7 linked regions of the Oryzias latipes genome follow. The protein of the gene in region 1 interacts with the protein of each later gene in a pairwise test. Links are inferred from orthologs where the notes say so. Each region holds a gene or a part of one and is shown in the gene's direction. Other genes may lie near its edges. The genes, in order: tfip11, bmf, gng4, sfr1, snx20, ccdc146 and rrp7a.

The links.
Region 2: the proteins of tfip11 (region 1) and bmf interact in binary tests that used the Homo sapiens proteins (3 or more experiments, as listed by UniProt). The two-hybrid records come from large-scale screens. The link is inferred for Oryzias latipes from reciprocal best matches to the Homo sapiens genes TFIP11 and BMF.
Region 3: the proteins of tfip11 (region 1) and gng4 interact in a two-hybrid assay, tested with the Homo sapiens proteins (2 studies listed by BioGRID and IntAct). The two-hybrid records come from large-scale screens. The link is inferred for Oryzias latipes from reciprocal best matches to the Homo sapiens genes TFIP11 and GNG4.
Region 4: the proteins of tfip11 (region 1) and sfr1 interact in binary tests that used the Homo sapiens proteins (3 or more experiments, as listed by UniProt). The two-hybrid records come from large-scale screens. The link is inferred for Oryzias latipes from reciprocal best matches to the Homo sapiens genes TFIP11 and SFR1.
Region 5: the proteins of tfip11 (region 1) and snx20 interact in binary tests that used the Homo sapiens proteins (3 or more experiments, as listed by UniProt). The two-hybrid records come from large-scale screens. The link is inferred for Oryzias latipes from reciprocal best matches to the Homo sapiens genes TFIP11 and SNX20.
Region 6: the proteins of tfip11 (region 1) and ccdc146 interact in binary tests that used the Homo sapiens proteins (3 or more experiments, as listed by UniProt). The two-hybrid records come from large-scale screens. The link is inferred for Oryzias latipes from reciprocal best matches to the Homo sapiens genes TFIP11 and CCDC146.
Region 7: the proteins of tfip11 (region 1) and rrp7a interact in binary tests that used the Homo sapiens proteins (3 or more experiments, as listed by UniProt). The link is inferred for Oryzias latipes from reciprocal best matches to the Homo sapiens genes TFIP11 and RRP7A.

Annotation. Positions count from the first base shown.
Region 1 is NC_019867.2:13,548,756-13,552,826, forward strand, and holds the start of tfip11 (tuftelin-interacting protein 11), read left to right. Parts: upstream 1-1,271; 5' UTR 1,272-1,400; intron 1,401-1,799; 5' UTR 1,800-1,801; coding exon 1,802-2,007; intron 2,008-2,086; coding exon 2,087-2,252; intron 2,253-2,333; coding exon 2,334-2,490; intron 2,491-2,599; coding exon 2,600-2,727; intron 2,728-2,857; coding exon 2,858-3,019; intron 3,020-3,252; coding exon 3,253-3,444; intron 3,445-3,555; coding exon 3,556-3,735; intron 3,736-3,878; coding exon 3,879-4,013; intron 4,014-4,071. Other genes in the region: srrd (SRR1-like protein), read right to left, coding at 1-82, 187-285, 371-549, 637-677, 788-930. UniProt on the Homo sapiens protein: Involved in pre-mRNA splicing, specifically in spliceosome disassembly during late-stage splicing events. Intron turnover seems to proceed through reactions in two lariat-intron associated complexes termed Intron Large (IL) and Intron Small (IS).
Region 2 is NC_019880.2:14,506,836-14,511,135, reverse strand, and holds the start of bmf (bcl-2-modifying factor), read left to right. Parts: upstream 1-1,500; 5' UTR 1,501-1,717; intron 1,718-3,040; 5' UTR 3,041-3,219; intron 3,220-3,298; 5' UTR 3,299-3,325; coding exon 3,326-3,497; intron 3,498-4,113; coding exon 4,114-4,300. UniProt on the Homo sapiens protein: May play a role in apoptosis. Isoform 1 seems to be the main initiator.
Region 3 is NC_019873.2:28,283,543-28,287,638, reverse strand, and holds the start of gng4 (guanine nucleotide-binding protein G(I)/G(S)/G(O) subunit gamma-4), read left to right. Parts: upstream 1-1,296; 5' UTR 1,297-1,664; intron 1,665-2,599; 5' UTR 2,600-2,607; coding exon 2,608-2,706; intron 2,707-4,096. UniProt on the Homo sapiens protein: Guanine nucleotide-binding proteins (G proteins) are involved as a modulator or transducer in various transmembrane signaling systems.
Region 4 is NC_019873.2:20,002,316-20,006,426, forward strand, and holds sfr1 (swi5-dependent recombination DNA repair protein 1 homolog), read left to right. Parts: upstream 1-1,366; 5' UTR 1,367-1,621; coding exon 1,622-1,702; intron 1,703-2,191; coding exon 2,192-2,500; intron 2,501-2,578; coding exon 2,579-2,767; 3' UTR 2,768-2,931; coding exon of another isoform or gene 2,932-3,104; 3' UTR 3,105-3,196; coding exon of another isoform or gene 3,197-3,350; 3' UTR 3,351-3,429; coding exon of another isoform or gene 3,430-3,510; 3' UTR 3,511-3,611; downstream 3,612-4,111. Other genes in the region: cfap43 (cilia- and flagella-associated protein 43), read right to left, coding at 2,932-3,104, 3,197-3,350, 3,430-3,510. UniProt on the Homo sapiens protein: Component of the SWI5-SFR1 complex, a complex required for double-strand break repair via homologous recombination. Acts as a transcriptional modulator for ESR1.
Region 5 is NC_019864.2:5,678,299-5,682,314, forward strand, and holds the start of snx20 (sorting nexin-20), read left to right. Parts: upstream 1-1,216; 5' UTR 1,217-1,433; coding exon 1,434-1,491; intron 1,492-3,625; coding exon 3,626-3,759; intron 3,760-4,016.
Region 6 is NC_019881.2:12,615,275-12,619,206, forward strand, and holds the start of ccdc146 (coiled-coil domain-containing protein 146), read left to right. Parts: upstream 1-1,132; 5' UTR 1,133-1,276; intron 1,277-1,871; 5' UTR 1,872-1,912; coding exon 1,913-2,020; intron 2,021-2,189; exon of another isoform or gene 2,190-3,653; coding exon of another isoform or gene 3,654-3,932. Other genes in the region: fgl2 (fibroleukin), read right to left, coding at 3,654-3,932. UniProt on the Homo sapiens protein: Essential for sperm flagellum biogenesis and male fertility.
Region 7 is NC_019866.2:20,063,838-20,067,769, forward strand, and holds rrp7a (ribosomal RNA-processing protein 7 homolog A), read left to right. Parts: upstream 1-1,132; 5' UTR 1,133-1,176; coding exon 1,177-1,240; intron 1,241-1,378; coding exon 1,379-1,521; intron 1,522-2,439; coding exon 2,440-2,565; intron 2,566-2,860; coding exon 2,861-2,984; intron 2,985-3,066; coding exon 3,067-3,164; intron 3,165-3,250; coding exon 3,251-3,458; intron 3,459-3,546; coding exon 3,547-3,632; 3' UTR 3,633-3,684; downstream 3,685-3,932. UniProt on the Homo sapiens protein: Nucleolar protein that is involved in ribosomal RNA (rRNA) processing. Also plays a role in primary cilia resorption, and cell cycle progression in neurogenesis and neocortex development.

The DNA of each region.
Region 1 (4,071 bases):
TCCACAGTAGGTTGTTGTACAGAGCCTTCCCACAGTGCATGAGATAAAAAAGAGTGGGCTTGGTCACCAGACGCTTCCCCTCCTAAATAAAACAGCGGATACTTTAGTCTGTTTAGATCTCAGTTACGGTGATAACATCAGCAGTTTGTTCTCTAGAAGTGCAAAAAGAAAAACAATTGACATGACCTCGTTTTCTGTGAGTACAGTCATTCCCAGCTCCCTCAAGACATCCTGCTCTCCAGAGGAGAATATGGGATCATAAACCAAGCAATCCCTTAAGGAAACCTTTAGGAGAAAAAAAACTAAATGAGCAACTCAAAACAAACATAACACATGTTTGTTAGAACATAGTCTAATGCTCTCTTCTGACCTGTAATACTTCCAGCAGCAGAAGCAGCATGGCAAGCTGATACCGGGCTGCAGTGCAAGAAGAAAAGGAGCCAAGGCCATAACACACACACTCCAGCTGATCACCTGTGTTCTTCAGATGCTCCTCAGTGACGTCCTTCTCTGCAGATGCTGATGCTGTGGATGCCATCAGCAGCTCATCTGAGGACGAGGAACATAAGAGTTACAATTCAATTACACACTAAATAAAAAAAACATGTCTAAAAAATTTGGTTATGTTTTACTTACCTTTCCATTTGTGCCAAAACTCTTCGCATCTCAACTCAGTCCTATGAGACAGAGAGTAAAGAATGAGATATCAGAATTAGTTTTCCCCTCGATAAGGCACAATGAACTATGTTTATGAGTGGTTTTCCGTTTTTTTTATTTTATTTCTTACACAGTGGTCCTGATCCGTCTGACAACTTTCTCGACATCAAGCTGGTCTTCTTGGACGCTGGTGGAACTTAAAGGCACATGAGATTTAAACTTCCTTGTTTGCCCTTTTCGACGCCGAGCGACCTGCCACTCACTTTCAGACATTTTTTTTATCTCATTCCCATCATTCAACGATCTATAATAAAATGTTAGGGGTGAAAAAAAAACAGTGATAATAATTAAAAAACAAACACCCTAATCACCTCCGCCACAAAATCAGCAGCGCGTAGGACGGTTTTAAGTGTAACACATTTGTCTTCCGGTGTAACGCCAAAATAAAAGCTTTTATCACATAATTTATTAACCTAAATGTGTGGTGTTGCTGTTTTAACTTAGAGAAATTTATATAAAAACCAACACAAATCTTTAGTAAATGCAAACAAATAAAAATAAGTAAAATCTCAAAGTTTTAAGGTCACAACATTTATTCGTCAGTACTGACGGACAGACTTTACCCGGAAGTATTTCCACGTTCGTGCGTTGAACGAAAAGCTACACAGATAACCTCTTCTTGCTACAGACAGCCAAGAATGAGTTTTAATTAATCTCTAAGTGTATAAACTATTTCTTGTCAAGTAAGCTTTGTTTGTATTAAGTGCCTTTCTACTTTCCAAGTTCGAAATGTTTCTGCAGTCGTAATGGGATTTAATGTCCCAACTATCGTTAGCTAGATTTCGCTAAAAAATCTCATCATTTGCATTATTAATATCTGAGTTCTGTTAGTTAATACCTTTTTGCTTGAAACTTCTTAATGTATTTTTACGCTTTCAATCATACAAATGTGCAATACAGTTGATATTTATGTTGATAATTGTTTGTGACCGAAACAGTTTTGTGGCTAGCTTCGTGCTTAGCTAGCGTTAGCAATCATTGCTGACTGTGGTTTCATGCTGTTGTACGATTTTTTAAGCAACTTGAATGTTTTTCAATTGTATGGCTTTTATGATTTTTTTTTGTATTGGGTCTCTATCTAGAAATGTCGATGTCCCATCTTTACGGGCGGAGGGAAGAAGAGGAAGAAGGTGTGGAGATCGAAAGCTTCGAGGTGACAGACTGGGATCTGGCCAATGAGTTTAACCCAGAACGCCGCAGGTTTAGGCAGACCAAGGAGCAGGCCACTTATGGGATCTGGGCTGACAAAGATTCAGATGAAGATGAGAGACCCAGCTTTGGTGGCAAGAGGTAATTCACAGGTTTGATGCTCTGATGTCTAAATGTGAAAATTTTTGCAGAGGATGTTAACAGTGTACATTTTCTTTAGGTCGAAAGATTACAGCACCCCAGTGAATTTTGTTAGTGCCGGTCTACGTAAAACTGCAGCCGAGGAGAAACAGCAAGACAAAGAAGAAGGTTCTGATGATTCGGAAGAGGATGCCCCTGCAGTTCCCCCTCCTACTCGTGGAATTGCACCTAGAAAACTTCAGATGGTAAAGTTTCGCTTAAGAACATATTTTATCTAAAAAAGCTTTCTTTTTAAACTGACGTCTATAATTTCTTTGTTTTGTCAGAGTAATTTTCGTGGGAATCAGTCCCAGAGGTTTGCTGGTGGAATACAATCTGGACAGGGTATTGGAACCTGGGAGAAGCACACAAAAGGAATTGGACAGAAGCTTCTGCAGAAAATGGGTTACCAGCCTGGAAAGGGGCTTGGAAAAAATGCTCAAGGTAGGCAGCGTAAAGGAGGAAAAGTACTGTACACGATTGTGCTTTTGCATGCATTTCAGAGGGAAAATAATAGAGATTTTATTGCCATGCCTCTGTTTTGTTTATGTAGGTATTGTAAACCCTATTGAGGCAAAGGTCCGTAAAGGTAAAGGAGCTGTAGGTGCATATGGCAATGAGAGAACCCAGCAGAGTCTGCAGGACTTCCCTGTGGTTGACTCTGAAGAAGAGGAGGAAAAGGTGAGATTTTGCCACGAGCAGTTCTTTACTCCATATAATCTTGTTTTCACAGTGATTGTGTATCTGAAGAATTGAGGGCTAACTGTGAAATTATCTTCTTGTTTTTCTCCTGTAATGTGTGTTGTTGTAGGAGTTTCAAAAAGAATTGGGTCAGTGGCGAAAGGATCCTGCGGGCTCCGCAGTCAAGAAGAAACCAAAATACTCATACAGAACTGCAGATGAGCTGAGGGCTAAAGGCAAAATGGTTTCTCGGAACATGGCAGCATCTGCAGGAGAGTTGGCGCAGGTTAAGGTGCGTTAAAATCCTGCGTTATGTCCTTTTAATTTCGGGTCAGAACAATGAAAAAAACCACAAACTTTAATATTTTAAAGAGCTTCACAAGCATCTACTTGTTTTTTTTTTTTTTTTTACATTTCCTCCTTTCAGCATAAAACTGAAATAAATTGAAAGATTTTTATGGCCATGGAAGTAAAATGATTCAAGTTTTCTTTTTATTAATTGTTTTTATCTCTCTTCAAATTTAGGTTATAGATATGACTGTAAGAGAGCCAAAGGTTTACTACAGTTACAGTCAGATAGCCAACAAACACAGTGTTCCCGATGAAACCCCACCAGCCATGTCCACACGGGATCAGAAGGGTTCCGGCTTCGCTCTCCCTGAGCTTGAGCATAATCTTCAGCTGCTGATCGACCTCACAGAACAGGACATTTTACAGGTCAGAGGAAAATCTGAAATTCTTTCAAATCATTTTCAACTATTAACCCGTTTCAAGTGGGCTTCCAGATTTAATTTTTTTCTTCTGCTCTCTTTATTTATTCTTTTGTAGTCGGCCAGACGTCTACAGCATGAAAAGGACGTGGTCGTTTCTCTGAGTCATGAGTCCCGTGCGTTGCAGAGCAGACTAGAAGCAGAGCAAGATGCCATCCAGAAAATGGAGGCTGTTTTGGCACTGGTGGAGCGTTTTCCCTCTGGAGAGACGCCACCAGGGGAGGGACCGACTCTTCAGGTACGTGGCACATGAAAATACCCAAACTAGATGTACTTATCTTGCAGTTTATTTGTTCCTAATGGTTTTTAATCTCCATTCTTCTAACATTTAATCATTTTGAACATACTTATTTGTTTATTTTCTCACCTCTCTGTGCCCAGGAGTGTGCCCAGATCTTTGAGACTTTACAAACAGATTATTATGAAGAGTATAAAATGATGGGATTGGCAGACCTGGCTGTGGCAGTTGTTCATCCTTTACTTAAGGAGAAACTTCACTCATGGGAGCCTCTAAAGGTTTTTTTTTTTTAATTATTCTAATTAAATTATTACGCTTTTATTTCTGTGGGGGGGA
Region 2 (4,300 bases), on another chromosome or scaffold:
AAATTACATTCCAAATGAAACTAGTCTACATAGGAAGTGAGCATCTAACATAAAAGGGTTTCATCCGATTGGTCCAACGCATAAATGGATATATTTGATTTGCTAAATACTTCAAGCTGCCATAAGATTGTTTTAGCACATTTAAAGTAACAATTTGTTGCGATTATCGCCGTCTTTTCCGATATGCATATCGTGCAATATACATATCGGAAAAGATGGCGATCAAATTTATCGTTTTCGCGATATCAAGCTTGATATCGCGAATACGATAAATTTGGGATTTATTGTGCAGGCCTGGATACCAATTACTGATATTGATTACTGGTAATTTCTTATTTGTGATTTTTTTCCCCCCAAGCATATTATTTTTTATCTTAAAAACAAATACCACTGAAAACTGTCCAGATAACAACTTTAATATGCAAGGTTAAATAAATACATAACTGTTCTTTTTTTAAATAATGCACTTAAAGCAGTGCAATGATTAATTTCTCCTCCATGTTCAATTTTTAAACAAGTGGGACCTCTGTTAATTAAAAAAGACGCCATACCTTTGACCCTGATTGGTCAAAGTTCAACTGGTTTAACTTTCATCATGTGTTCAAATGCCAGGCATTTTGTAGATACAGCCCAAAAACAGACTTAAAATCTTGCATTGTTGAGTGTAAATGTTAGTTTTGAACATGGAAGCCCGAAACGCGCATATACGCACGTTTATGTAGACCTTTCAGTTGAAGAGGTTGCTTTTGTATGATGGTGTGAACAAAGCAGAAGATACACAACTCATGGTTCCTCTGGTCACGTGACTGATAGAGCAGCTTAATATGCTGTCTGCTGGGGGTGTCGCTCACCTAATAACCAAGCAAAATCTAGAAATGATAGATACACTTTTATTTTCTCATGTATTAATTAGTAATTGATAAATTAATAGAGTACTCAACACCCAAATTGCTAATATATGGGTATCTGTATTTTGACATCAATTCTCCCATAAGTTGGGAGGGACTTTTTTTCTAGAAACGCTTGTCTTCTTATAAAATAGACTTGTTTTTGAAATAAAAATTAAAAAGTTGTTCTAAAATAAAGTGGAAAAAACTTTAAAAGATGTAAATATGTTTGACTTAAAAAAAGAGTTAAATTTGTTTAACGTAGTTCAAAAAATAAAACACCGGGTTTTAAATAGTCAGTTCGGTTGAAAATAAAATAGAAGCTAAAAAAAAGATCAAGCTAAACCATATATGGCAGATTTGTCAAGCAAATAAAGCATTATGCCTCCACTGCTATGGTTAGAGACCAAGGCAGCGGAGGACAGACAGGCCTTCTAGCACATGAGCTGCGTAGTAGCGTGAAAGCGGTCTCGTGCTCCGGGGAATTTCCCGTCCACGTGTCTGAAAACACCGCGGCAGCGGCGGCATATAAACAAAGGCAGCCATTGGCTGGCGCGCGCGCACGTAAATCATCCTCTATTTACTAAAATTCAGCTCCCGCCCACTTGGCGGAGTCATCTCAGGCTGACGTCGGCGAAATCAGTCCGACCGTGGCAGCGCTCCTCGCAGAATGGAAGTAGTCGTTGAGGAATAAAGTCGTTTGACTTAGCAGGATTTTAAGACTTGGAGTCCTATTTTTTTTAGAAGTTTCTTTTATTTTATTGTTTAATTTTCGCCACATTTAACCCCAGAGTGCAGGACAAGTGTTTTAAACGCCGCCAGTCTTCTCGGTAAGAACAGCCTCCAAACGTTCAGCCGCTTTATTAGCTTTAACGAACTGAAGGGAAACTTGTTGTTGTTACTTGAAAAAGACGCAACACAGCTTTTTGTGGCGCTTGGAAGCGGCGCGCGCTTTCGCTGTGCTCTTCTGTCGTACAGTAAGATTTGAAAAACACCGGCTTTCCCGGCTGACACAGCACCAATGAAGTCAGCGCGGCCGGTCTCTGTCATGTGTCTGCACTTTGTTGTGTGACAGTCACCTTTTTCAACAGAAAACACTCCGTAAAGGCATATAAGCACGCAAATAACCGTTTATGACGACATTTCCGCCCTAAACTTTTGTTTGTAGCAGCAAACGTAATAGGTTGGTTTACTTTTTTTCTGTTTGTGTGTGTGAGTGACCCTATTAGGTTTCGATTCGGAATTAAATGCCCTCAACTGCACCTTTTGTCATAAGGCAACTTTTAGTTGTTGTTTTTTTTAATTGAAATTTTGATAACGAGAGCAATATTTATCAAGTTTGTGCCACTGATAGCTTAATGTTAGAATGAAGAGGGTGTCATGATGTTTATGGGCATAGAAGATGCATCTACCGTGGAGCTGTTGCTCCAAAACAAGCCCACTATAATTGACTTTTGTATTAAAATGCGCCCCCACCAGCAGGGGGAGCCACTGCATGACATAAAAATGTTTGTAGTCAAAATAGCAGAAAATATACATTTAAAGTATTTTGCTGTTATTATTATTATTATTTTTTTATATTTAAAAAAAAAGATAAAGTTAGACTTCCACGTGTTTGAGTCTTAGCAGACAGGAGCTGAGTGGAGTTTAAAAGAAAAGTTCAAAAGCTGTCAGGGAGAGTGGTAGGACTTTCCTCAGAAACTGTCATTCCCTCTTAGCTGTGATCCCTCATTTGGAAGCGTGATACCAGTGTGACCCTGTATTTACAACTCAGTGGTAACTTGGGTTTTGCTGCTGAGGCAAACATGAGTTTCACCCATGTTTTGATAACTTCTTGACACAGATTCAGGGAGTGAACTCCAGGATTCAGGGTGAACTCCAGGGCATCAGTGACTTTAAGAAATTGCTTTAGTTTTGTACTTTGTATACCCAGTTTTTGGATTAATGTTTTTCATTGAAATAGAGAAATAATATAAGAACTCAGTCATTCAGGGAAAAAAAGATAATTTTACGTTTTCTTTTACCAAGTTAACCAAGCTAGCTTCTATGTTACTGTGGCTTGATTGACTTCTAACCGCAGTGAATTGTGTGGTTTATTCACTGAGCTGAACAGACTCATTTGTTTAAATAAACGCTGAGCTCTTTACTTCCAGAGAAAGCAGAGCAGTCGTTTCATTTCCCCGTCCACCGTGGTTTCATTGATCGGAGCTCGCTCCATACAGGCCAGACAGGTTGTCTATAATGATAATGAGTGCCTCGGAGGAGAAAAAAAGAAGCAGATAATGAATGCGTCTGAGGTCATCTCTCCAGATCTGACGTAGATTTATTCAAGGTTTGTTAGAGAGAATGCCCTTGGTTTGTGGTGTTGCCCACAAATGCGCTCATTCTCTATTCGCCATATCGCTTTCAAGGTCACTCGTCTTGCAGTGCCCCCCCGTATGGACGATGAGGAAGACGATGTGTTCGAGCCGGACCCCAACAAGTGGCGCACGACAGCCAGGAAGATAAAGTGTGAAGACCGGGGCACGCAGACACCCGGTCCTGCCCTGGTACCAAACAACGGCATGCTTCTCTGTGGACTTGCAGAGGAGCCCAGACCACTTTTCTACGGTGAGGCTGATGACACACCGTCTTTCAAAAGCAAAAAAAGGGGAACATCGCCTGGTGTGTGATAACCAGTTATAAAACTCCGGCGCAGAGGCATAATGTGACACTTGATGTGATAAAAGCGCAACAGTGTTGCAGCCCTGAGCTCTCCCCTGGCGCCTGGGAGTCGTCATCAAACTCAGTTTTTTATGGCCATTGTGGCGTGTTACCAGCTGCTTTGCTATTCAGAAGGCGCCAGGCCGGCTTTGGGACAGGTGAGCACTGTGACAGCAGTGCAACAACTCCTCAGATAAATCATTATCAGTAGCAGCAAAGCTATGTTGGTGCCATATATGAGCAGTCATGCCGGAGTAGTTCCATAACAACTAACTGCTGAAGCCCTTTTGGGTGTCAGTGACCTATAAAACTATTATGTGCAATAAAACCACAGCTGGGGAAATTGTTTGTCAGCCGGGCAGCTTGTTTATCCAAAGAGACATTAGTCATCACTTGGAGTAAAAAAAATCTTGGTACCTGACATAAAGAGAGGTCTGTCAGGTTTCAGTTCTGTGTTTAGTTTAGTTTTTTCACCGAACACGTTGTTTACGAGATATTAAGTATCAGCTTTGACACTCAACAGGTAACGCAGGTTTTCGATTGCACTTCCCAGCACGCTTTGAGCTTGCTGGGGATCTTGAGGTGAGGCGGCACGACAGGGAAGCAGAGCGGCGCGGGATGGAGCGGCTTCCCCGGCAGCAGCCTGTGGCACGCAGCACGGAGGCCTGCATTGCACAGAAACTCCAGCTGATAGGGGACCAGTTTCACCG
Region 3 (4,096 bases), on another chromosome or scaffold:
GGAGGACGCTGCCTCTCTGAACCTGCCCTGACTCCTAATAATGCCACCCCCGGCTGAGCAAGCTCCACCCGCCCTTCCCAGCATCAGCAGTGATGAAAGTGTTATGTGTACATAGATCTATATTTATAAAAAGTTTGGATGAAGCTGCAGCAGACACTTTACACTAAACCTCTCTGTCGTCTTTTTGTTGGTTTCCTGGGAAGCTGCTAACCCCTGACCCGAAGCGTGTGAGGACCCGGGTCTGTCACTGCTCCTTGCTGGGGGGGGGGGGTCGTGCTCTGTGAGTGTGTGTGTGGGGGGGCTGTGTCGCGGCTTCACTTTGTGTCTCGCAGGAGCGACCGCACACGGGGGGGGGGCACCGTGAATCGGACCCCGTGGTTCTGTCCTCTGTGTTTTGTATGCCCCCCTGCCCCCCTCCAGCTGTGACATTTCCTCTCACGACCTGCATCCAGAAGCTCCACCCCCCCCCCCCCTGCTTTTCCGGTTTTACTGAACTTTTAACTCCGAAGCTTCTTCAGATCAATAACACTAATCTTCAACCCCCCCTCCCCCACAATGAGGGTCCACTCCTCTGAGGAACCAGTCGCACTTCCTCTTTGGCTGTTTCTGTGGATCAAACTGCACTTTTTATGAACCCAAAACAGCCATAATTGTAGTCTTAATTAAAGTTTTTATTGAATGAGACAAATAAACTAAAAGAAATGGTTTTCCCTCCGTCTTCTGGGTAAACCCGCCTCTGTCTTCTGTTTGTTTTAACCCTCTGTAGTGAATGATCGTCCATCGTTTCATAAGAAAGGGAACATTTCTCGTTTTCATTTCTTTCAGAAAGTTTGTTTTGTCCCTTTTCTGATCTGAACCTAAAGAAAATGTGACGTTTTTGTGTTTCTGTGAGAACGGGTGCAACTCCAACCTCCTGCTGGTCTTCATCCCTCCACCAGTTTTCTGTCAGGAAATGTGATGAAAGTTTTTATTATTTCTGTTTATACCTTATCTGTGCATAATTTAAGACCTGCTTGTGATCCCGGATTTCTCCAGACCAGTTTTTGTAGATCGGCATGCGGGCAGGAGGTTGTCTTAGGTTTTGATGTATATATATTTGCTTGTTTATGCACAAAACCATGTGATATTATAAATATATAAATATATAGATATAAAATATTTGAAGAAATATTACTAAACTTGTCGTGGTGAGTTTTTATTTATCTATTTCTGGTGAACTGCAGGTTTAACTGTCAGATTAATTGGATGAATAGGCGGAGGTGGTGCGTTTGGGGCCGGCTCGTACAGCGGAGACTCCCAGTGATCGAGTGATCTCTGCTCCACAGCCTGCATCTCATCGTCACACAGAGATTTCCCCCCCTGCTGCATGCGTAACATCTCTCCAGGTCCAGCCGTGGCGCTCACTTCGCCGCGCGCGTCTCCGCTTCCCACACGGATCACGCACGACTCACGCACAACGAACCGCTGAGGGGGGGGAGAAAAACCGCCAGGCAGGATTTACCTTCGCGGGTCGAGTCCGGCGCAGGAGCGAGGCTGGGATTTCCTCCCATCGATTCATCTCTTGACACATCCCTGGTCGTGCGCGCGTGCCTGCGTGCGTGCGTGTGCGTTGGGTGGAGTCAATCCGGAATTCTCCAAATTGGAAAACCGTTGGCACATTCCAGGTAGGTCGGTGGCTCCAAACCCGCGCGCGCCGCGCACGCGCTCCCACCCGAGAAATCTGCGGATGTGTCGGTGAAACGAAAGAGAAATGTCCGTTTCCCGGAGGTTGGGGGGGAGGGGGGGGGATCAGGGCCGCAGCCCCTCGTTTTTCTTTTTTTGTTTTTTTTTTTTAAATGACAGATCAACAATTAGCGTTTGGATACGGAGGCGCGCGGAACCGAAAAAAAGCCGCGCGGATGGAATGGAGACCTGCGTGGAAGGGAGGCCTGATGGCTTCCCGCGATGGTGGGATTCAAACCCCCAGCAGAAAATCCTACGAACGGGGGCTCCCAAAAAAATTCAAACGATTTTTACTCCATTTGATGCCACGAAACGGGAGCAAACCCTCCTTTGTGGGGGATGCAGCAGCAGCAGCCCACCTCTGGTGTTACACAATACATCTGCGGGCAGGTGGCCCCTCTGGCCAAAGTGGGGCAGATCAGGACTGAGGGGGTCAAAAGGGGGCCTGAAAGAATCGCAGGGTCTCTGCAGGGAGGCAGCTACAGGCTCTTTGGAGGAGAAAGGGAGAATCCATAGAACCTCCATGGACTTTGGAAATGCACCTGAGTCCTGTTTTTCAGTGCCCCCCCCCTCCCCCGTCAGCTCCTGCCCCGGATCACTGAAGGGGGGGGGGGGGGGGGGGGCAGAACAGTCATGCATGAGAGAAAAATGTCAAACTGCTGTCCAGCTGCTGCCTTCAAAGCTCTTAAGCTCTTTCTTCAGATAAAATGGAGCGTGGGCGCTGGAAACCCGCTTCTCCAGACAAAATGGGCTCTATAAATAAAAGGGGTTGTGGCAGAGATGGCTGTGCTCTGTGTGGAAGGGGAGGGGGGGCGGCATTACCTGACTTTCTCAGGTTCAGTGTGATGTTTACGGAGCCTGCTGTTTGACATCACAGGGGCCACCATGAAGGACGGCATCGCCAACAACAGCACGGCGAGCATCTCCCACGCCAGGAAAGCCGTGGAGCAGCTGAAGATGGAGGCCTGCATGGACAGAATAAAGGTACGCCCCCTCCTCCTCCTCCTCATCCTGTCACGCCAACGCTGGTCTTTCGTGAAAGGAAAGGATGAATTGTCCAAATGTTTGAGCTTCAGGGAAATTCTGCCGCCACCAAGCTGACCATACATATAAAAGTTGAAGATCTTTCTGCCCTATAGGGGTGGGCAACTCCGGGCCCCGAGGGCCGGCGTTTCTCCATGATCACCAAGCCGCACTCATGACTGATTACCTGGTTTAGGTGTGTCCAGCCAATTAGAGCATGCTGGCAAACATGCAGGCATGCGGCCCTCGGTTGGAGTTGCTCATATCTTGAACCATCGGATGATCAGACAGAAGTCTGAGCGTAGAGGTAGATCTTCAGGACCTGGATGGAGACTTTCACACACATTTAAGTTCAACACCAGACATTTTCTGCTGCTTTTCAGCATTCTTCTTCCAGTTTTTTGCTTTTTTTCACTCAGGATATAATACCTTGTACATTAGTTTGTTCCTATTTTGGACTTTAATTGCATAAAGGGAACTGACTCCTCCCCCCTGGCGTTCCAAACAGGAAGTACCCACGGGCTCCAAAATCCAATAGAAATAAACAGCTATTGGTCAGAATGACCATTCTTGCTCTGCTACAAGTTATAAAACTGAACAATCAGACGCCTCAATAAAAGTAGGTGGAGCCTGCTGGCCCCCACATCCAGTGTTCAAAACCTTTGACTGACAGATTTCATGCAGCCGATTTTCAAGTGGAAGGGGTGTGGCCTTCCAACAAGCTCACTCCTGATTGGAGAGACTAGTTGCCATAGAAACGTCGACTCAGGCCAATCACAACTGGGATTGATTTCTGCTTTGGGCTTCCTTCCTGTGATCTAGAATCGTATAGATGACATCAGAGGTCATCGGTCTAGTGGTCATATGTCTATGGGTTTCTTCACATGTGCTGGATTGCTTGAAGACAGATTTCCAGTCCTGAAAAGTTTCCTTGGTTTGGTTTTTCTGAATCAGACGGATGGGAGTCCGTTTGATTTCATTTAAGCCAATGAGAAAACGGAACAGGTGTGTGAGCGCTCTCACATGGGACGGCCTTAGACAGGAAGTGTTGCTGTGGATCCAAAGTGGTCAAACTATTGCCTGTAAAAACAATGCACGGCCCAACCCCTCCCTTCTCGTGTTTCCAAATGGGAAGTACAGTTGCTTCCTGAAACGGACGCCACCATGTTGAAACCAGTCGACAGTAATTGGTCGCTTTGAGTCGACAGGGATTGGTCCAAGTCGCTTTGAGTCATCCTATCTATGGCAATGGCGACAGTAGTTGCCATAGATACGATGACTCAAAGCGACTTGGACCAATCCCTGTCGACTGGTTCCGACATGGCGACGCCCGTATCAGGAAGCAATGGTG
Region 4 (4,111 bases), on another chromosome or scaffold:
GAAGGAATTAATAGCTGACCCAAAAATGGCTTAAGGATGTATAATGTTTAGTGGCCAGTCCTGCATTTGATGAAAGATCTGGCACTCTCATTATCTCACATGGCCTGGAGATTCTATAAACCCACAGCAGCTGCTGCATGCCACGGTTAATGCCGACTTCACAAAGCAAAAATTACACGCAAAAAACATTAACTTACACAAATAGCAATTACCCTTCCCTCAGTTGTCCTTACAAGGAGTATTAAAAAAAATCTCTTGTTCCCTGGGGTGTGTAATATCACACTGCCAAATGAGTTGCTAATGTTCGTGTCCGGGCACAACCACATTTGAAGGTATAACAGCTTTCTCCTCGTGGCTATAAAGGCTGACACACAATAAGAGAACCATCCCACATTTGTGAGAAGATTAAAATAGCTATAGACTTATAAAACCGATGAATCAGCTAATGAGGGAAGGTGAATCACAACATGAATCAACTCCAGATAACCACCACACAAAAAAATCTCTTTAACAATATTCTGAATTTTGGAGCAAAACACTCTTTCCCATTGCTATGGTAGTTGTTTTGCCTGACTTGATTATTAAACTACTTAAATTATAATTATTTAAATGTGTCTTATGTAAACACAAATAGTTTACCAACAATTTTTTAATTTTATTAAAAATATGTATTGATCAAATTTCATAAGAAGAAACAAGCTACTTAATCCCATGTGTGAAAAAACTTCCTTTGTGTTTTTTTATAAAAAAATGTTGTTTTCTCCATGAAGCAATTCATCAAAAAAAGAAAATTCTGTTCATTAACATATTTTTACAGGGCAATAGACATGACATTCAAATAAATAAATAAAAACTGTTCCTTCAAACTAACAATTTGTGCACACAAATTCGAATTTTTTTATTGCGTTCACACAAATTTGCATCTCGTGACCAAAATTTTGCTTTTTATTAACATTTTGTAGGCAAAAGTTACTGTTTTGTGAACACAAATAATTCAAATTACTGTACTAGCCAAATTTGTTGGCTTAGAAATTGTGTGTGCACAAATTAGCAGGCTATTATGTAGGCCTATGAATTAATTAGAATTTTGTGCCAACAAATAAGTATACTGTGGACACAGAATGCTTATAAATTACAAATTAATTGCCCAAAAAAATGCTAAATTGTGTGCACACAAAAAAATTTAAGGCCACATATTATTTTGTTTCTCTTTTTTTCATATTTTTTTTATATATATGTACATTTAAATATGATGTTTAAGTAAAATTATTCCATCTTAAAGCCAACAAGTTAAATGTGCGACTGCGTTTGAGGAATAACTTCATATCCCAGAATCCTCTTCGGCTAAACGTAATCAGTTTCTGTCCAATCATTGATCTTCAGGACTTAGAACCGCAAAAATACGGAAAAACAAGATCAACTGTGGTGTCATCGCCTCAGCTTAATTTTTCCACATGGAAATGTCTTTGATAAAAATTCAATATGGTTTATAATACTTTGTTATAGTGCCTCTAATTTTTTTCGTTCTTATTTCAGCCGAGTCAGATATATTGAGCGTTTTCTCAACTTTAAGCTAGGCTATTCTCGCAGCTAAACAGACTTTTCATGCTAAATCTGACGGATGGAAGTCACTCCAAAACACGAGTATTCATCACCCTGCTGCCCAGAAGAGTCGACCCCCTCGGGATACAGAGAAGAGAAAGTAGGTGACTGAATGGGATGTGTGGTGCACTACATACGACGTAGTGTTAGGTCCACCATGAAAGAAAAAGTCTAAAGAGACGCCGAGGGGAAAATTTTACGGCAATAAAGTTATGCAATTATGAGTAAAAAAAATAGCTCTTAAGTTGTAAATTTATGCTTCAAAAAGTCTACATCTTATAAGTAAAAAGTCACGCGTGTTGAAATTAAAATGTTACATTTTAGATTTTTTAAATCATGTCATAGCGAATTAATCGATTTTTTTTTGTAAATGTACAACTTTATTTTCGAAAAAGTACGACTTTTTCATGTAAATGTATAATTTTTTTAAATCATAATTTTACATATTTTTTAGTTATATAATGTAGATTTTTTTTTTCTAATATTTGTATGACTTTATTCTTGTAAAATGTTAACTTTTTTCTCTTTTTATGCTGGCCTTAATACTCCATCTGTGATTTTTTTTTCTTTTCCCCTCGTATCATCCTAGTGTTTTTCAAAGCTCAGCACTTCGCTGAGGGAAAGATTGAAAAGATCCAGACGCTCCTTTGTTTCTCCTGTCTCTGTGGCCAAACGCCTTTGTGTGGACGATGCAGAGGATGAAGGGCCACACATGTCAGCAGACTCCAAGGAGGCTGTCAGGCAGCCTGCAGAAATCCCACTCAATGACAACAAAAGGGAAGCCCAGTCAGGCAGTGAGCAGACGCCTGAAGCTTTTTTACAGCACCTCAGGAAAGAAGTCAAAGAAAAAACAGAGACTCTACGTCGACTCAAGATGGTAAAGATGTACAGAAGCAAGGTACCAGCCATTTTTCAAACATCTTCAGGGGATCACCGTTTTGCTTTGCCGTAACACTTTTCTGGTCTTTCCCCCTAGAATGATTTAACCCAGCTTCAAACTTTGATCGACAAGTGGAGGCGTTGCTCCCAGAACGCGCTGTATGAACTCCAGTCAGATGTCACTGTGGACGGACGAAGGGCGAATCTGTCTGAGCTTATAGACCTCTTTGGTTTGGACGATCACTTTCTGCACTTTGACCGCCCGGAGGAGGACTTCACTACTTAACATGTTTTTTTTTTTGTTTCTGTTTTTTTTTATTTTACGACTTAAGTACCAGCAGATTAAGTGGTTCTTAATCACTTTATTTGTTGCAGGTTCTTCACAGCAAAAGCACATTTAATGTACAGAGAACTTTTTGCTCAGTTAAGAAACAAAAAAAAATGTTTCACTCAGCTGTATTTCAGCTGATAGACTGAAGTGAAGTTCTTCTTCGTTAGACGTTCAACTTCCGCTAAAAGGACTGTCAGTTCCTCAGCCTGAGCTTTGACTAGAGCCTTCAAGTTGCTTTTCACAGCAAGCTCCAGGTGCCGCTCTTTGGCTTTTGCTTGCTCTTGTTCAGGGCCTAAACAACCAAAATAAAAGCAGATAAATATTTATGCTTGTCTGGGATGACGGAATCGGCGTTTGGCGAATGTTTGTCGATCAGAAACCAACCTGCAGCTTCAGAGACGTGTCTCAGCTGCGCCACGTCCACCCGTATGTCAGGAAGCTGCAGCTCCAGAGTAGAAGTCTTTTTGCTTTTCACGTCAGCTTGTTTATAAAGCTGCTCGATTTCCTTCACACACTGCTGGATGCACTGTTGATGAGCCTGAAAAAGTAAACAGAGTTGTTCATAAAAAAAGCATAAAAAGGCTGGTTTATCGTTGCTTTGTCACTTTTCATGTCACCTCCGTCATGAAAGCAAGGTTTTTCTCCAACATGGACGCTTTCTGTGAAATGCGAGTGCCTTGTTCTGACTCGCTGTAACGCTGGAAATAAAAAAAGAGAAACGCATTAATTAAAAACAGTGTTTCATACATTTTTGCTTCTCCCTTCTTCTCAAATGTTCAATAAAGGCTTTTGAAACACATGCAGCAAAGCTATTTGTCATGCAATGTAAAACCTCACTCTGCCTAGATCTATCTACATTCAAAATTTCTCTCATGGGGTTCAAACAATGTCAGGAAGGCGAACGCTGCACAGCTGCTGAGCTACCTGTACCTGCTGCCAAAGAAAACTGGCAATGCAGCCTGGAAACTTACCATTTTACCCTCTGGGTTGTTAAAAAATAAAGCCAAAAATTAGTTAGTTGGTCTGTTTTTGTGTTTGTCCTCAAACTTTCAAAACTATTTTTAACTTTTAGACTGTGTCCAAAAGCTACATATCGTCAAATAAATTGTCTTATATTTGATTAAACAAACCAATCTGTCAGATTTTGAAAAAATGATATAAAAGAAAGTGACATGCCTACTGAAAGAGGTTTAAGTTCAGCAAATGAAGGGGGAAAAAACCCTGAGTCAATTAAAAAGGGTGTGAGTCTCCTATAAAAGATCATTCATCTGCACTGGGAGATGGGAACAATTTTCTGTT
Region 5 (4,016 bases), on another chromosome or scaffold:
TTGCCATAGATACATTGACTTAGATCGACTGGTTTCAACATGGCGGAGCCAGTATCAGGAAGCAATGGTACTTCCTATTTGGAAACATGAGAAGGGAAGGGTTGAGCTGTCCATTGTTTTCACAGTCAATGATCACGACACATAGTGGTTTCATCTTATGTGTTTTATTTAGTTCTGAGTGTGTGCTGGGTCGCCTTGCTCTGTTGTGTCACGTTGTGTTCCTGTGACGTGACCCATGAATACTTTCTGCTGTCAATCAGACCTGAGATGTACCAATAAAATGATTCTCTGGAGCTGCTGTCTTTGTTTCTGTCTCTGAAACTTCATAGATTAACCCTTGTGCTATCCTATGACCCCACCCTTACATTGACGTGTTCTCCCTACCATGACAAAGTTGGATAAAGGTGGAAAGATTTCATGTAATCCATGGACACTAGTGAAGATCACAAATCATTGAAGAAAAAAGGTTGAGCGCACTGTCTAGTGGGTCTAGATGACCCAACTCCCAACGTCAAAGTGTCTAGGATAGCACAAGGGTTAACCTGTTTCTGTAATAGTGGCCTATAGAACATCAGGCTGTTGTAGGTTCTGCTCCCTTTGAACTTGAACCTTCTCTGTTGGTCCATCTAGCATCCAGAGCAGGTTGAATTCTTGTCTGACTGAGAAGCATGAACTCACAGGAAAACAGGGTTGTATCAGGAAGGGCATCTGGCCTAAAAAATCTGTTGCTGATTCGCTGTAGTGAGCCCTTAAGGAAATGCCCAAAGTAAACAACTTGATCAGTTTGACTTCAAGAAAGAAGGAAGACTTAAAGTCCAGATGACAAGGCTCATCTTCAAGACACACTTTTTAATGTTCTCAGTGTTCTTTGAAAACTGAAAAAAAGGGACACTAACCCCAGAATCAGGAGTAGTTCAGCACCTTGTCTGAAACAACCAAACCAACATTAGCTAACTCTGTCTTATATAAATACCAAGACCAGGCAGAGCTGGACACAGACAGTCTGAAATCACAGAGGACCTCCCAACCTCTAATCTGAGGCCAGCACATGAAGAACAGAAACTTAAAAAGGTGAAGGGGGGTCAGAGAAGAATCAGCAGTTCAGTTCTGCCTTGAGGTGTCCGATCCTGCCCACAAACACACTTCCAGGGTCAGTCCCTGCCTGGCCCATCCCTCTCAGCCTTGCAGCAATCTCCACCCACCTGCTGCAGCTATAAACACGTTTGTCAGTTTACTGGCATGCTGCTTTCACTTCCCCCTCTGCCTTCTGTCTCAGTGAGTACAATAACTTCCTCCTCCACTCTTCTGTCACATTCTTACTGCTCTGTGGGAACGCTCAATTCATAAACTAGATATAGTCTTGAAACTGGGAGCCCTTCAGTCAGGATGCAGCAGAACGCTTGACTTGTGCGTCCTCTCTGGGTTTGGTCCTGATGGCAGAACCTCCAGGGGGCGTTGGAGACCCGGCCAAGGTCAACTGGCTCGGTCCAGGTACGTCCTTTCATTTCCCTCTGTTCAAGGGAGAGTTTCTGTTTCTTCCTTCTCAGAGATGTAAGCATCTTAGAAACTCCCCGTGAACACGCTGAAGCCTCCAGCTGACATCGCAGACACACAACAGATGCACAAGCCTCCATCTTTGTAGTTCCTAGACCTTAATTTTTGCAGAAGAAGATTTTCAAATTTCAGGATTAGTTTTTACAAGTAAGGTATTATAGCTCAATCATCACACACACACGTGGATGTATGTATGTGCACACACACAAATACATATACACACAAATATGCACACACACATAAACACTTTCACTTTGTCTGTGAGTTGCTCACCTCTTCCATCTAACCGACTCCTCTGTATCCTCCTCCTTCACACCAACCTCCCTCATCTCCTCCTTCTCTGCCTCCATGATCCTCCTCTTTGGTCTTCCTCTCTCCTCCAACCTCAGCATCCTTTTCCCAGCATCATCACTGCTCCTCCTCTCAACGTGTCCAAACCATCTCCATCTGCTTCCCTGCATTTATCTCCAGAACATCTACCATGATCTGTTCCTCTGATGGATTGTCCAAAACTGACTGTCCCAAAGAGAACCTCAACATCTTCATCTCTGCTTCCTCCAGCTCTGCTTCCTGTCTCTGCATCAGAGTGTCTGCCTCTAAATACAGTCCCACCTGCACCTTCAACTACTCTGCTTCACCTCCAGAACATCTCACCTCTGTCTTACAGCCCTCACACATGTCCTGATTGAACCACTCCAACCTTCTTCTCTGTCACTCCAAACTTTCTTCAGCTGAACCACAGCTCCTCTCTCTCTGGATTCTCTAGTAGACTTCCTATATTGGAAGAATATCCAGTTCATCAATATCAGAGGCTCTCTTTTCTCTCGTCCAACCGTGCTTGAAGCATAGCTTGAGCAAAAGTTATAGATGTGAAAATTGACAACTTTCCTCACTGTTACGCATTAATGGACGGGGAGTGGGCAGCTGGTGGACAGACATCATTACTCCCTCCCAAGAGCAGCCTTAACCCTTGTGCTATCCTAGGCACTTTAACATTGGGAGTGGGGTCATCTAGACCCACTAGACAGTGTTCTCCCTACCATGACAAAGGTGGATAAAGGTGGAAAGATTTCATTTAATCCATGGACACCAGTGAAGATCACAAATCATTGAAGAAAAAAGGTTCAGAGCACTGTCTAGTGGGTCTAGATGACCCAACTCCCAATGTTAAAGTGCCTAGGATAGCACAAGGGTTAGAAAAGCCACGAGGTGCATTCTTTTTGCTGCTACTGTTGCATTCACTGACTTAGGAAGTTCTCTTTCGTACAGAGAGATATCAAGAACCGTGTTGTTAAGAGGTGTTGAGGTGGGTTTTTTTTTTTGCTCAGTTTCTTCTGTTCAGTTTCTTCTGTTCAGTTTCTTCTTCTGGTCACGTGACCAGTTAAGGGTAGTGTGATGACAATACCACTTCACTGTTCTTGTGCTGCCCTCTTGTGGCAATCCCTGGTTTTATATGAGAAATTCATTTTTTTCTTTAAGCTTGTCCCCGTCACCCCTACAGAACACCTCACCACTGTCTTACATCCCTCATTCATGTCATGAACAACTCCTAACTTCTTCTCTGTTACTCCAGACTTCCTCATAACATACCGCAGTTCCTCTCTGGGCATCCTGTCATATGCTTTCTCCAGATCTACAAAGACACAGTCAGGCCTTCTCTGTACTTCTCTATCAACATCCTCTAAGCAAACATTGCATCTGTAATGCTCTTTCTTGTCATGAAACCACACTGCTGCTCACAAATATTCACTTCTCCTCTTAGTCTAGCTTCAACCACTCTTTACATGACGTGTTCTTGAATCCCTGCAGTAGTTTCTCCATGTAATATTGTTTCTTTCTAGGATCTTTAGTGCTGTCTGCACGCAGTGTGTGGTACTGCAGTTTTCAGAGCTCTCTGATGATAAAGTAGGCCTAACTTTTTTTTTTGCTCTTAGGGTTTCTAAGATTTAAGAGTTGTTGTGGGCATTAAAACAGCAGAAAACAACAGTTTGTGTTTATATTTATGCGGTAAATATGAAGCGGTCCATCATCCATATCTTCGTGTGTGTGTGTGTTTGTGTGTGTTTGTCAGGTGAATTATCTAGTTTAACCACAAGGGAACTGCAGCAGAACCTGCGACTGGAAAAGCGCCGCGAGCGACCCGCCCAGCTGCTGTTTGAGATCCCGTCTTCTCGTATTGTCCATCAGTCTCTAGGCAAACATGTGGTGAGTCTCCTCGGAACTTCCAGAACTTTTGTCTTTACACTGTGGAACCAAACACGAAAACATGCTAACGGAGGCCTGCAGAATTTGATGTGCAGCTGTTGGGTTCTATCACTTTCTCTCTTGGAGATGATTTTAACTTGCATAGATTGATAATTAGCAGCAGTTCCTCCCCTGAGATCTTTGCTATGTTCCTCCTCTCGTTCCCACACAGCTGAGTTGTTCCCCAGAGGTCTGCTTACCTTTACCTGCCTCGGATT
Region 6 (3,932 bases), on another chromosome or scaffold:
TATTCCAAATATATTCTATCAGTGTAAGTCAGGTCTCTGCAGGCCCGTCAAGTTCTTCCATACCAACTTCAATCAGTCATCATTTTATGGATCTTCTTTACTGCAACAAAACTAAATCACACAAAGTATTTTGGTCTGGTTTCTTGTGTAAATATCTGATTATACTTGATTCAAGACAAAACTAACATACTTAGAACTTTTTAGTAAGACATAACACTTTTTGGACAATATATCTTGAGTCTTTTGATCTTAAAAACATCTTATTTTTAGCAAACGCACTGATTTTTTAAACAATATTTTACTCAAGTTTTATTTGTGAATGGTAAGCTGTCTTGTTTCATGATATGATTTACTTCTTTTGACTCACAGCAGTTCAAATATATTTAGCAATGGCAGAACAAGAGTTTGAAAATAAACACATATTTATGTGTAATTTTTAAAGAAATGTATCTCAAAATGAGTCATTTTAACATGTTTGTGCTCTAAAAAATAAGGATTTGGGCTGTTGTAGCATTTAAATAAGATATAATTGGGGGAAACTGTGTAAAAATACGTTCTTTTGTGTAAAACCTCCTAATTTTTAAAGATATAAAACTATTTTACTGACCAATACGCACTTATTTAAAGATATAATTCCGATTAGCAGACCAATATACCAAAACATGAGTCTTTATAGCAAGTTTAAAGATTTAATTTAATCTTTTGGTGTTTTATTTTAAGACATCTTACCAGAACAAAGTCAACTGGTTCTATTTAAAAAAAAAGGCTTTAGTATCAATTCACCATATTGTTACCCTTAAACAGCTGCAATAATTAAATCTATATCTGTCTAAAAACTCACATTTTTGTTGATCCTAATTTATGGTTCTTTAGTTGGGAATTTTTGCATTTATGTAGTAAAGTTAATGTCCTTGCAACCTCTTGCATAGGTTTGCACTTTACAATTTACTAACTCAGTTAATTGATAAACAATATGGACATAACACTTTGACAAGAACTGTTTATGTCTGTGTGTGTGTGTGTGTGTGTGTATATATATATATATATATAGTGTTTCCAATTTAACAATTTAACCTTTAGGCTAACGTGCTACACGTATTAGGGTTCTGTTCATTTATTTATGTCTTTTTTAGACAACGCGCAGCGTCGTTGTCATGGTAACGCGCTACAACTAGAGGGTAAATCTCTGCCTGCGTGTGCCTGTCTCGTCAACTCTTTTAAAAGTTGTTTGAGGTCGAACTTCAAGCAAACGGAGAAGCGGAAAAGTCTTGTAGGCGTGAGTATAAACGAACAAAATTAACCTTTAAACTTTTACTTTCGTGTTTTTTTGTTTTTTGTTTTTTTTTGTTTCAAATCGGTAGCCACTAGCTTAGTATGCAAAACCGAAACGCTCGTGCTCAACTTTTTCTTTTCAAGCTAACGTGGCGTTCGTAAATGTGCCTGAACAAAAATTCAACCGAAAAAATATCCAACCGTCCGGATCAAATCAATGCACATAACAAACTTAAAATTTATACTCATCATTAACCATTTTTGCTCTGCTTTTCTACACAAATTGTGCGTGTGACTAAGCACAGATATCTCTTAGCAAAAAGTAGTGCACCCAACGTTTATTTTACTAAATATCTGTAAGTATAGCAAGTATACTACACCATGTATACTTCTGAATACAAAATAAATTGGAACATTCCATGTTTACAGTATATAGATAGTATAGAAAAATAGACTTCAAGTACACTGCCTCACTTTTATATACCAAGTATACTTCCTATAGACCCCTTTTTACTACAGAATAGTATTTCTGGTAATGTGTTGTGCATTCTCTGTTGAATCATATGTGTAGATTTATAGAGTTGTTTGCTTTCCCTTAGAGATTCTGTTTGAGGATCAACAAGATAATAAGCCTCCAGGCATGGAGGAACAAGGGAACACTTCTCCACCTCATCCATCTCTCCAGGAAGATCAGCCCTCTGTCAACGTCGCTGTCTCTGCCTGTCCTGCTTTTCAATATCTTGAAGAGGTAAGGAGTCATGTCACTTTCAATCAGATTGTTCAACAGTGACAGACATATAAAATCGTTTTAAATGACATATTATGTGCCAGAGAAGTCGTTTGTCTAACTCTGATTTGTAAATGCAAAGGAAATTCTGACCAATAACTTTTTTTTTATATTTAAAAAACAGCTTAATTTCAAGCACAACTATTTTTTTTATTAAAGTAACCAGTACAGACAGTAAATAGACATTAAAATAACTTTCCAACAATAATGTCTGTCGCTCTTTGAGTAAACATCTCATTCACTTATCTGTTAAGGGCATGCAGCACCTCATCCTTCCTATTTACAGGCTTCTCTACTAGACCGGACACACTTTAAAATATCACATGCTAAACTTACATTTTTATGTACACTTTTTGTTTTCATAGCAGAAGACTAAAAGCTGATCAGGCATCAGGGAGTCTTTAAACTACGAAAAAAACTGAACTCCATTCAGCAAGAAAAAACAAAAACAAAAAAAACTTAAATTTCTCTCGTATAAAAAGTGCATATTTTTGGTTATGACAAATGGAAATGCATCGTAGAAAACATCCATGTGAACCAAGAGTGGTGAAGAAGGATGACAGTTTATATACAGTCTTCATCAGTACCATCAATAATTGGACTTTACTGCATTTGCACTATAAAACCTTTCAAAAACAAAATAAATACTGTACACATCCTTAGATTGAATCCTCTTGTCTTGTCTTTGCCATCCACAGTGTGTTTAAAAAAATGGTATGATGCTGTACAGTTTTCAAACATTAGGTAGCAGTATTGTACAAACAGTGAGTTAGCCTACAGATAAAGAATGTTATATGACATCAAGAGGTGTGCAGTAGAGATAGTCGAACTCGGAATAAGGTTAGAAAAACACTTGGAACTGTTTAATGTCATGATCAGTAGCTGCTGTCAGGAACAATTTTCTAGAGAATCAATAATACAGTGCGTGTAGCACTCACAGGGGGAATCTTTTCCGGCAGCACGCTTTATATTGTTTGGGAAGATAATCCATTGGCAAGCTGTCTCTGTTGTAGTTTAAGCTAGTGGCACCAGAATGTTAACTTGTGATCAGCTTGCAATGAAAAAATAATGTAACATTTGGACTCTGTTCACAGCAGGATGTCTTTTCTGGATTCATTTCATATCCCCGAAAAAAGAAGAAAACATATCATCCACTCTCATATACCTCACTTGGGTGGTTGCTGTTAATTATGGAGTCATTTACAGCGGAGAAAATGATAGGTCATTAGTTTTTACCGCTGGAGTGTGCTGCGCCGCGACTCAGCTGGGTTTATAGCAGGAGGCAGCAAGTGTAGAAATGTCACAGATGGATGACAAATTGCTCGTGTTAACCTCACGTGTGATATTATGGCCCTTTGTGGGAGGCTGGCCTTTCACACTGCATGTGTATTTTCCTATTGTCATCCTTGTTCACAGGTCATTCTCTTTTATTGTGAAAACCAACCTCGCTACGGTAGAAAAACTCCTAAAACATTATGATTTTTAACAATCCTTGTTGGTACTGCTTTTATTGGCTTCTTTTGCTGTGGAAACATGTACAAACGTAATTTCTTTTTATTTTTTAAACTGAAGTCAGAAATGTTATCATATCCACCTAAGGAGCATAGTTTTTAGGCCGTATCATCATCTTGACAGTTTTAAAGGCCTGCCTGTAGTTGGTAGGGTAGTACTCGGATGACATGTTGTGCCACGTTCCCCAGAAGATCCCATTCCGGACTCCTTTGTACCTCTTGTGGTAGTATTTCCCATTCAGATTGGCCGACATGCAGGCATCAAACCACCAGCCGGAGCTGTAGTAGGCGCCGCAGTTTCCCGAGGGGTACATGTCATTGTCCAGGTCCGGCGTGGAAAACAACTTCTGGTCGTGGTTGAA
Region 7 (3,932 bases), on another chromosome or scaffold:
TAAAATATCTTAAACTGGAATGACTGAAAAGACTAACATGAGATTTCAAATAAATCACTACAGAAACCTTTGTTTCTGTCAAATGACAGTAGTATCCAATTACTTAGTACTGCCTCTCTCTGTGATATTTGTATCTAAAAATACAAAACAAACAAAAAATACATATTACCTCTAAAACTAAACTTTATATTTATTTGTAGAATTTGGGTCAACTGAACCTTGAAATCTGAAGGAAAAAAAGTCTTAAGTTTCATAAATGAGATACTTCAGCTAGAAAGATGTTAGGTCTTATCTTCCAAAAAAATGCTTACGTTTTTTTTTTTTTTAAATATAACTATTTCTCAAATATAATTTTGTGGTAAACATCAAGTTGTATAAGCAAACACATTCCCATCTTTGACAAATGAGTGAATGGACATCCAGGGTTTCTGTGAAAGCAGTGCAGCCAAAGGTGATGATCCAAAACATCCCAGTCAGGTGAGTCCTGAAGCTGGGAAAAAAGCGTCCTTAGGGTTGTTTAACCCTTGTGCTATCTTAGATGACCCCACCCTTACATTGACGTGTTCTCCCTACCACGATAAAGGTGGAAGATTACATGTAATCCATGGACACCAGTGAAGATCACAAATCATTAAAGAAAAAAGGTTCAGAGCACTGTCTAGTGGGGTCTAGATGACCCAACTCCCAATGTTAAAGTGCCCAGGATAGCACAAGGGTTAATGTTTTAGAAAAAAACATTAAACAAATGTTCGGGAAACGGGGGAAGCAAAAAGGCAAATACGGATTTGCAAACAAAATATGATGGAATCACAGCAACATTTTAATTTGACATTCAAATTTTTCACACATACAAAGATTTACATAAACAAAGCATGTTATGGTTTTTCAATTCCTAATCAAAACTTTAACATTGGGAGTGGGGTCATCTAGACCCACTAGACCGTGCGCTGAACCTTTTTTATTCAATGATTTATGATCTTCACTGGTGTCCATGGATTACATGAAATCTTTCCACCTTTATCCATCTTTGTCATGGTAGGGAGAACACGTCAATGTAAGGGTGGGGTCATCTAAGATAGCACAAGGGTTAAACTACTGTTCATAGACTTTTGTCAGGGTCGGCTTTTAAATAAAGTTAGAAACGAAACTACTTCCGGTTTAGGCGTCACATCAAAAATGGCGCCCTCCAAGGCGAAACATGCCAGTGGCCAGCCTTGGGTTATTCCTGGAGGGTTTTCAGGTATGGTATAAGTTAAATTAAATGTGGATATCTAAAATTATTGTAAATAGAAATTAGAATATCCAGTAAATTTGAAGCTCTTGTCTGGGACGTTGGGACACTCGTTTGTTCGTTGTACTGATGGTTCTGCTTCTGCAGTCCTTTCCTTACAGTTCAGCTCCGGCAGCGCTGCTCGTCATTGTCTGTACGTGAAGGAGCACAAAGTGCGCACAGAGAAGAGTTCTCACAGACCTCTGGACAGGACTTTGTTTCTGCTCAACATTCCTCCGTACTGTTCAGAGGTGAGCCTCAAGAGAAAATAAAAAAATAACCGAGATGTCTTTCTTTGTCTTACACAGACTCAGCTGACAGAAAATTCACATCTGCAACTCAAATGTCTTTTAAAAAGAGTAAAGCGAATAAAGCCTTACATTATGCGGCTTATTCAGTCTGCTTGATCTTACTTTTTTGCAACCAAACAACCTGAAAATTAAAAAAAAAATCCCAGTTTATTACTTACCTTGGTTTCATTGAATACTCTTGGTTATTTTGTTGTGGTTTTATTTGTCTCTCTAACTTGTCCTATCCAGCAGCTGAGCAAACGGATATGAATCTTCTGACACACGAGGTGTATATTCGTATAAACCTCTTCTGTATTTGAGGCTAAACTGTTGGGTGGCGACATAACAAAAAGAAGAGGACAGAGTGGGACGTTAGAAATGGGGGATGAGGTTACAAACAAGGGGAGAGAGAAGTAGACGCAGTGGCAAAGCAACACATTGCTAGAGATTTATCATTACTGCCAGGTGTAGATGTTAGAACTAAACACTGGGCCCGTCCACAGACACACTGGAAAGTTACAAACATACCTGTTGGCTCCAAAGATCTTCACGCACAAACACGTAAATGCGTACACAGTACAGCTGCAGTTCACACGCACATGCTTATGGATACGAACCAACACGTGTCAAGCATATCATTCCATCCCGCATACTATTTGTGCAAAGGTGAGCTGACACTTATGCTCACCAGAAAGCCCATCCTGCCCCACGCTCCTGCCCAACCTATGGGAAGTCCAGTAGAGAGCAAGGCAGGGGGCAACCCCCCATCTGCCCAAGAAGAGGATGCCCAGGAGAAGTGGGGGTCCCCCATGTGTGCGGTAGACATGAGCCAACTAGGCTCCCCACCTCTCTCATTGATTCTTTATTGTGTTGTTTCAGGTTGTTGTGAAAGAATTATTCTCCCAGTTTGGCGGCATTGAATCGGTTGAGTTGAGGGATCACCCGGGTTCATCTCAGGAATCTGGACCCAAAATATCCAAACTCTTCAGACCAGCTGAGAAACAGGTTTGTGTTCCTGCACTCGTCTTTGTGATTTTCATTTACTTTGCTGTGCAATATCTGTGATATCAAGAGTCGCATATGGAGGAAGCAGTTTAGAAGCATCATTTTAACTTCCTTATTCAGATTTTAAATTTCTTTAGAATTTTAGGTCCAGCTTCTTAAAGTGTTTCCATAAGTAACAATAAATAAACCAAACTAATTAATAATAGATGCAGGGATGATTTGAATCTTTCCTCCATTTGTCCTTCAGCATCTTTGACTGTTAACATGATCACTTATTAACCTTCATCTCTTTTAGGGTTTCAAAGTCGGTTACATCGTCTTCAAGAACTCCTCAAGTTTGCAAGCAGTTAAGTCTTATCCCTTTGACGCCCCCTTGGTGGTCTCAACTGAGCAGCGTCCGGTGAAAACAGGCGTACAGAGTAAGTGATGCCTTTCAGTGCAGTCAGGAAAACAGCAAATCATTTGTTTGACTCGCTTGTTTGGTGCCTCTGCCCTTTACAGAATGGATTCAGCAGTATTCAGAGTCCTTCATCCAACCAGAAAAACTCCAGCAAAAAGTTGACAACTTTATGCAGAGCTACGACGAGCGTAAGGAAAAGGTGTGAATTCCTCCACTCCACTTTGGATTCAGGCACTCATTAATGTTCCTTCCACTGTAACACAGGCCTGTGGTTTTTTTTCTCAGGAAGCAGAGCAAAAGAAAGAAGAGGCTGAACGGCAACAAGAGGAAGAAGAAGGCTGGGTGAAAGTCACCAGAGGGCACAAGGGCGCTAAAGCTCGTCCTCACAGCGAGGCGGCCAACGAGAAAACTCTACAGAAAGAGAAAAGGAAGAAGAGGAGGAAGGAGCTCCTAAACTTCTACACCTGGCAACACAGAAACACACAGAAAGAGCGTAAGTTACTCAAGTTCAAATGTAACCTGGAGCTAAAATGTTCATCTGTATTTTTTTCTTACATTTACTGTATTCTCTTCTTTTACAGACATTGCTGAGCTGAGGAAGAAGTTTGAAGAGGACAAACAGAAAATAGCTCTACTGAGGGCGCAGAGAAAATTCAAACCTTACTGACTCTTTATGACGTCTTGTTTAAACCACACTGTTAATAAACAATTGATCCATAGATGTTTTTGTGATAATTCAATTATCATACTCCGTTTTTTCAAGTACTGGTAGTTTTGGGGGGAGAAAATATAGAAAATTATAGTTTCACAATCATTTGATGTAAGCATCAAAGTAGTTTAAAGGGCCTGTATCATATTTTTCTTAATTCTTTGTATATTCACATATATGATACCTTTGACACACTAAAGAATCCTTTTTTTTTTTAATGAAAGAATTTTCTTACCTGAAAGTTAGACGACTCGATCT